2 linked regions of the Rattus norvegicus genome follow. The protein of the gene in region 1 purifies or fractionates together with the protein of each later gene. This does not show direct contact. Links are inferred from orthologs where the notes say so. Each region holds a gene or a part of one and is shown in the gene's direction. Other genes may lie near its edges. The genes, in order: Itga3 and Cd9.

Evidence for each region.
Region 2: the proteins of Itga3 (region 1) and Cd9 purify together in Homo sapiens (affinity purification with western blotting; 3 studies listed by BioGRID and IntAct, with this or other methods). This does not show direct contact. The link is inferred for Rattus norvegicus from reciprocal best matches to the Homo sapiens genes ITGA3 and CD9.

Annotation. Positions count from the first base shown.
Region 1 is NC_086028.1:80,515,876-80,520,201, reverse strand, and holds the start of Itga3 (integrin alpha-3), read left to right. Parts: upstream 1-1,300; 5' UTR 1,301-1,726; coding exon 1,727-1,932; intron 1,933-4,326.
Region 2 is NC_086022.1:159,944,128-159,947,933, reverse strand, and holds part of Cd9 (CD9 antigen), read left to right. Parts: intron 1-1,481; coding exon 1,482-1,579; intron 1,580-2,182; coding exon 2,183-2,257; intron 2,258-3,293; coding exon 3,294-3,392; intron 3,393-3,540; coding exon 3,541-3,630; intron 3,631-3,806. UniProt on the Homo sapiens protein: Integral membrane protein associated with integrins, which regulates different processes, such as sperm-egg fusion, platelet activation and aggregation, and cell adhesion.

The DNA of each region.
Region 1 (4,326 bases):
ACAGCCCTGCTCCCATATGTAAACAGAATAACAGGTACAGCCATGGATTTACATAGTGGTGGCAAGGACAAACTTTCCATAATTGTCATTGGCAAAAGGACAGCAAGGTCTCTAAGAGCTGCACCTTCGAATGCAGCTTCAATCCTCCGCGTGGAAGCAATCTTACCTTCTAAGGTCCTCTGTATAGATAGGGAATCAGACCCAGATCGCACTGGCTTCTCAAACACCAGAGCAGAATCCCATTGGATGGGTCCATTTTTGCCCTATTTTCAGCTTTCTCTTTTCCTTACTGTATGTATATGACTGGTGATTGTGTGTGTGTGTGTGTGTGTGTGTGTGTGTGTGTGTGTGTGTGTGAATAGAGACTTGTATATATGTATATTACCTTGGAAAAGTTGTATTTGTAAAGCAGTTAGCATAGTGTCTGCTGCATATGCTGTTCTTGCTTAATTATAAAAACACAGAAAAAGGTGCTCAGGGAAAATGAGTCTTTGTTCTGCATTAGAGGAAATCTGACTAAGAAAAAAAAAATTCCGTAATGATCTCGTTGAGTTCCCTTTCAGTTTCTTTCCCTGATAGTGAGATCTTTGAGCCTACCCCGCCTGTCTCCACCCCTTCACCTGGTATCACAACCGTGAGAGTTGAGATCCCATTCACTGCTTTTAGAGACAAAGATTGCCCTTTGCCAATTACAATTGCTGATGGGCTGTCATCAGCACCGCTATTTATCTGTCTGGCTCTGCGGAGGAGCCGCTTCCAGCTGGGATCAGGATGAGAGGAGGCGGGTGGACAGGAGAAATACTCCTTCATACAATGACATAACATTGAGGTCACTTAGAACGAAGAAGTTTAGTCCGGAGACCCACAGTCACCTCTTTAGCGACTCGCAGTGCTGGGGAGGTCCGCATTCCAGGCAGCCGAACGCAGACGATCATTCCCCCCCGAAGAGCCAATGCCTGGTATGCCCAGCCGGGACAGCGGTGCTGGCGGTGCCTAGAACGGCCTTTCTAGTTGCAGCCTCCGCGGAGCGCCAGGCAAATCCCACCTCTGGCCCCGCCCGTCCAATCCGTCTTGTGCTGAAGGCGACGTTCCTAGGAAGAAGCTTGCTGCTAGACCGGGGAAATCCAGGCTTTAAGGGTTCCCGACAGGTGTCTGAGAGAGAGGGCGGAGTCGCGATAGGAATGATGGAGAGGGAGGGGCAGCGCTGCCCCTTTAAGAGGCGGCGGCCGAGCGGGGACCTTTTCTCTTTCCCCGGAAGGAAAGCGGAGCCCGGGCTGGGCGCGCAAGGTGGGGAGGTGCGGGGCTAGGCGGTGGGGAGGCGGGGCGCGCGCCGGGGAGGATCCCTCCCTCCTGCCTTCCTAGCGATCGCGGATTTGCCTTTCTAGATCCTCCACCTAGCCGAGATCTAAAGAGCTAACACCTCCAAGGGGGCGCGGCCCGGACCATCTAGGGTGCAGGGTGCCCGGAGCCCGGATCGGTGACCGGTCCATCGGACCAACCGGAGAGTAGATACACGGATCTGGAAAAAAGACTGGAGAAGCACCAACCCGGAGCAGACGTGAGACTGACCTGGACTAGGGCAAAAAAATTGCCGGAGTCCCGGCGCAGCGGCTCTGCGGGCTCGGGTGTCCTCTGGCGGCGCCTGGAGCAGGTGAACCGTTCATCACTTCCCGGTGCTGAGCCCTCTAGCGATTTCGCCGGGCTCGGTTCAGCCCGGCCCGCAGCCATGGGCCCTGGCCCGCGCCGCGTGCCCCGCGACCCTGGCTGGATGCTCCGCGCCCTGGCTTTGATGGTGGCGGCTAGTGGCCGGGTCGCCTTCGCTTTCAACCTGGACACCAAATTCCTGGTGGTGAAGGAGGCGGTGAACCCTGGTAGCCTCTTTGGCTACTCCGTCGCCCTCCATCGGCAGACTGAGCGACAGCAGCGCTACCTGTAAGTGAGCCTTGAGGCGGTGAGGTGGGGTGCAGAGAGAAGGGTATGTGCGCGGATACCTGACCTAAGCTGAAATGGAGTCCTGGGCCCGCCGATTTCCAGGCCTGCTGTTGCTGGCCTTTCCTTGTGAGCCAGGATTAAGAGGGCGGGTACGACGGCAGCCCTCCGATTGTGGGGCTTGGCGGCAAGTGGAGGATGGGGGGCGGGGGGAGTAATCATGGCAAGTGCTGACCTGGCCAGAACCTGTCTAGACGCGGCCGCTCCACGCTTCAGACATCTTCGGAAGTAGGGTCTTTGTTACCCAGCACCCTGAGAATCCAGTACTTAACATTAGCTTCTTTCCTGGGCTGGGAGAACGTTGTACATTAAACACCTATTACATCTCTCTTCCCCTCCTCCCGTAGAGAACCCGAGAATGTATGCGTTCAAGCCCCTATTAGCCCTCTCATTTAGTCTGTGGCCAGAGCAGCCACGCCCTCTGCAGAACCAGGCTGGACCACACTTCTCAAGGGTTTGGCATTGGAGAATGAGGTGATGAAGAGGCTGGGCGTTCGGAGCTGTCCAGAGGCTCCCTCTGACCCCTAGAGGGACGGACAGTAGAAGACAGAGGAGGCGCTGTCCTAAGCCTCCGAGGCCAGAGCCCACCGGAAGCGGTGGGGTCCTCCCACCAGTCATCTCCCTGCATTCCACGGATTCATGTTGAATCAGCAGCCCCGAGTGTGTTTGTTTTGGTTTGAAGAGGGAAATGGTGTTTTCTCTTTTCTTCTGCTCTTCCTTGCAACAGCTGCAAGAAGCTCAGAGAGCCAGGCAGAGTGGAGGAGGGGAGGAGATTGCATCCAGTCACCTGCCCCTCCCTAGGCACACTCATGCCCAACCGGTCATGTCCAGGTGTCTGAGGTTTCTCTGCATGGGTTCTGTGTGCTGAGGTAGGCTTGCTGAGGGAAGAGGGTGATCAGAGGAGGCAAAACGACCTCGGGAGGGCCAGTGATGATCATATAAGACCCTCCTACCTTTTTGAGCTGGGTGGCCTGGCAAGGCGTTTACTCCTACCTGGCCTCTGACAGTTACTAAATCAGAAGACACTGTCAAGGTAAAAATATCGAAACCTCTCCCTAGGCTGGCTGGAGCCTGTAGAAACTTGAGGAAGTTTGGAATGTTCAAAGTCCAACTCCACTTCTGTCTTTGCCTCTGCCCTGCTGGCCCAGCCCCTGTCTGTACTGGCCACCTGGACTTAGTCTCTACCCTACCTGGCCCCTGCCGAAGAAGAAGGTGGATCAACCACACCCTTCCTGCCCTGGCCAGGCAGATTTAACCTTCTACCGTTCTGAGGCCCTCTGGTAATAGATAGTGGCTACAGCAATGCCGTTGGTTGCCTCCCCTAGCCCAGTACAGAGTTTTCAGATGTTCTGATGTTGAATGTGCATGGTGGGAACTGACACAGTAGAAGAAATTCTGCAACCCCTCTCCCTCTGCTCTGTGACCTTGAGGGCGATATTGCCCTCTCAGGGGCCAGTTTCCCCCTGGATGCGGTTGTACCTGGGTCTGTATTCGCTCTCTTATCTCTGCTGGCCTCTGAGAGGCACCTTGGCTTTGTAGAGAGAGAAGCTGAGTGTTCCAGTACCACTGCCGTGTCTTGCCTCTGGTTCTAACTCCTGGGCCTTAGTTTCCCTGGTCCTGGAGAACACACCTTCTTAGAGTTAGAAATACGTTAGTGTGATGGTGTGTCTAGAATGGTTCTGGTGTGTCCAGTCCCCCGGTGGACACCAGTAGGCTCTGGGGCTGAGACTGGGTGGAGGTGTACTTCTTGAACCTACAGGTCCTCCCCAAGTTGGCCATGGGAAAGGCTTCTGTTTTCCTCTCCAGGCAGCTGCAGAGAAGGCCGAAACTCACGGATCTCTGAGAGCAGGTGGTTCTGGCCAGATGGGTCTTCTCTGTCTTTGTCCAGAGCTGCTTCTGTGTCTTGGTTCTGTCTTCATCTTACTGAGTTCAGCTCTCCGTCCTTTTGGGAAGGAAGCAGCTGGGATTCACTGTAGCCAGCTGTGTAGCCAGATGTGAACAGCTGCCTGTGTTCGAGGGAACCAATACGTCAAACTGCAACTTCAGATTCTGTCATCCTCTAAGGCTCCTTGGAAGAGTGCGGTGGGTGGCTCCAGTCCTTTGGGGTCTGCCAGCTTTCAGAGAGCCCTATTTGCACAATCATGGGTTTGTGCATAGTCCCTGGGAGATCAGGGAGGAGAAAGCATAGCTTCTATGTTCTCAAAGAGTTTGGTCCAGAAGTGATTAAAAGTCCCAGATAGACTCTTTATCTCTATCCTGGGGTACCCCACCCATGACCCAGGTTTGCAGAACTCAGTATCTATCTGATAGTAAGAATCCGGGGCAGTCAGGTGGTAG
Region 2 (3,806 bases), on another chromosome or scaffold:
AGATGGATCTCTATGAGCTTGTGCCAGGACAATCTACATAGTGTTTCAGGCCAGCCAGAACTTACTGAAGAGCCCCGTTTCCTCAACATATATCCACCCACGCATTCTGGGCTTTAAAGATGAGGCTCTTGATATGTCACTGTAGCCTTCTCAAGGTTGGCGAGAGCATGGTAGCAAGACGGGAGGCATTGTGTAGTGCTTGTGCAGAGGGACCCAAGTTCAATTCCTAGCACATATGTTGGGTGGCTCGCAACTGCCTGGAACTCTAGCTCCAGGGGCTGCAGCGCCCTCTTCCAGTCTCCAAGGGCAGCTGCATTCATAAGCACATATATCAACAGAGACATATACATAGCTTAAGAATGAATATTAAAATACAATACGTATGGAAAGCACTACAACCTCTCTTAGGACAGAAGGGGGCTTCACAAAGGTAGTCCTGCTCAGCAACTATGGCTTCTCAAGAGTGTCACTGCAGGTTAGACTCTGGGCATAGCCGTGGTGATCTGGAATAAATGTATCCAGGGCTGGTCTACTCTGGTTCCAGATCCAGGGATTTGCACTGTCTGGGTGTAGGCAAGACTTCAGGGGTCTTAACCCTCTCTGCCTCCTCCCCAGCAACCACTCCCATTGAAGGCTGAAGGCACGATGTCACCCACTCTCCATAGTGTGATGAATCCTTTCACCCTTAATCTAGAGTAACTTCATTCCAACCATAAGATTTTTTTCCAGATGGACTGACAGGATTTCATGACAAGCACATGTGTGTGTGTGTGTGTGTGTGTGTGTGTGTGTGTGTGTGTGTGTGTGTGTGTGCGTGCGCGCGCAGTGCAAGGTGCCTGCAAAGAGGGCATCAATTAGATCCTGGGAGCTGAAGTTTCAGGCATTTTTATAAGCGCTCTGGTTCCCATGATTAATTACACAAGTACTCTTAGCCACTGAGCCTTCTCTCTACCCCACAAATGCAGTCTAACTAAAGACACCCAGCAGATAGTAGCAATGTTGGAACCAAGACAAAGCTCTTCTGATTTGATGCCCACTCATGTGCCATTTGTACTAGAACAAGAAAAACTCCTCTTGCCAGCCTGGCGGTGTGCAGAAAGGATTTCTGGAGGGATCGATGGTATTCTCAAGTCCCAAACCGTAGTTTGAGAGGTCTCAGTAATTTAGCTCAAGTGCATTATCCTGTTGGGAAGAAAGTAGCAGACTGAGCCAGGGATTGTCTCCTAAGAATCAGAGAGTTCTGTCCTCGGGCCCAAGGATAAGGTAGATTGTTGATGTGGTGGAGCAGAGTTCTGGGGGAGAGGGAGGGGAGGGGAACCAGAGGGCAAGGTGGAGCACGCTGTTTTGTTAAAAAAAAGGTCTCCTTCCCTGGAGCGGAAGCTATCAACAAGGAGGCATGATGAAAGCTCTAAGAGGAAGAGGCCTGGGCCTCCACACTGACGTTTGCAACCTTGTGTCTTTTTCCCCTCTCCTCCCTTCAGGAGTGTACATTCTGATTGGAGCTGGGGCCCTCATGATGCTAGTTGGTTTCCTGGGCTGCTGTGGAGCTGTACAAGAGTCACAGTGCATGCTGGGATTGGTGAGTATTCCTTCTGTACTCCCAGTCTCCAGCCTGTCTTACCCTTAATCCCGTCCTTTCCCAAAATGTCACCAGGCCCAGTGCACAGGATGGGTAGAACAAGTGGAGTAAGGAAAGGGCCTAGGCTGCTGGGCTTTGCTCAGCCTTTCAGTATCGGTACCTCAGGCCCAGCCCTGTCTGCCTGGCTCCCACCTTCTAGGTAGCTAAATGCCAGGACTCCATTTCTGCCTTTCTCAAAGGCCATGTTTACTCTCCCCTTCCCCCAAGTCCACAGGTCCTTTTGCCTTCTCTCCTTCCTGTTTCAAAAATTGTTTCCCTCATGCCCAAATGCCACAGAGTGAATGTGCTGCCTTTGTGCCCTCATGCTCGGTGTGTGTGGGCGGTGGTGTTTTATTGCTGCCAGACTCCAAATAACACCCCAAGCACCAGTTTAGGGTCAACGGATCACATTTTCCCCCCGGAATGCCATGGGCTCTCTGCTTTTTGGTCACCCTCTTCCTGCCTGTTCATCTGTGCCACCCGCATGCTAACTGCTCTACATCCCTTTGGTGTCCCTGACTGGCTTGCTGGAGTCCCTCTCACCACATCCCCTGTGTCTTCTAGTTCTTCGGATTCCTCTTGGTGATATTCGCCATTGAGATCGCCGCAGCCGTCTGGGGCTATACCCACAAGGACGAGGTAGGTGTTTCCCCTAAGAATGCTTGGGTCCTACAGCGATTTGAGGTTCTGAGCTAGGAAGAGGGTTGACAAAGATCGAAGGGTCCAGGCTAGTCACTTGCTTGGTTTTCCCCTCAGCATTCAGTGTGTTCCCATATAAGAGCAGGACACACAGTCGGTGGGACTGGGATTGTGGGGCTAGCCTGCCCTGTGTGGCCAGCACATGGTAACCATTCAGAACTATTACTCACTTTGGAAACCATTTGTGTGTGATGAACCCATCTTCGTGCCTGACAATCACAGCCAAACAGCCCTCCCCCACTACTCCCCGAAAGGTTGCTCAGAACACCATGGCTTTCTGTAATCAGCAGAGACTCCCTTTCTCTAATCCGTAAATACGTGCTACAAACACCACACCAGATGCTATGCAAGGTCCCCGAGTATTTCCAGGTCCCACACCTTGAGGAACTTTGCCATCTAGTATGGTGGGAGAAAGATGTTTGACAAACGTCACACTAGTCATTTATAACCAAAAAAAAAAAACCAAAACCCTTGAGATTTAAAAAGATTGTAAAGAAAGGACTGTGGATCTAGACCATGAATGAGATGGGGCGTCTTGGGAGGAAACGGGAGGAGTGGGGACCTTCTGGGCGACAGAAGGGGCCAAGCGTGTGAGTTTAAGTTTCTCTGGTGAACTCTCAGGACGTGTAGGCCGGACTGGAACACACCAGTGCAGCATTTAGAGGCAGGGCCTCTAACATTCTTCAATGAGAGAAGAAGCCCAGGGGCATCGAGGTGGGATCCCTGTTTTCAAAAATCTATCCAACTGATAAAAGAATTTACGAAGGGATAGAGGCCGGGGATCCCCAGTACCACACCACCACCTCAAAAGAAACCCAGGCAAGATGGCAGACTCCTGTAACCTGGGCACTTTGGAGGTCGAAGCAGGAATGGTGCCGAGAAAGGCGGTACGGTGGCAGTTAGCCAAGTGCTTGAAGAGTATCCGTGAAGCAGTTTCTGAGAAACCCATCTCTGCTCCTTTGTCTGTCCCTTGTAGGTGATTAAAGAACTCCAGGAGTTTTACAAGGACACCTACCAAAAGTTAAGGAACAAGGATGAGCCCCAGCGGGAAACACTCAAAGCCATCCATATGGCGGTAGGTCACCTCTGTAGCGGAAACCGCTGACCCCTCCGGTACATCCCTGCAGGGTATCCACACTTGGGTATTTCTACACGGGGCTGGCATGCCTCTTTTAACTACCTTTTTGTTTTTCTCATCCCTCCTCCCTGCCGTCTCTCTTCAGTTGAACTGCTGTGGCATAGCTGGTGGTGTGGAGCAGTTTATCTCGGACATCTGCCCCAAAAAGCAGGTTCTGGAATCCTTCCAGGTTAAGGTAAACTTTGAAGCAACCCTCTGGCACCCTGCCCTGCTGCTTAGACAAATACCCACAAGGCCTAGCTTGGGTGAATTTAGCAGCATTCCTCCCAGGGGCCCCTTTCCTCAAGTGGCAGCGAGACAAAAGCCAGATCAGAGAGGGAACAAAATCCCCTAGCTCTCACAGCTACAGGC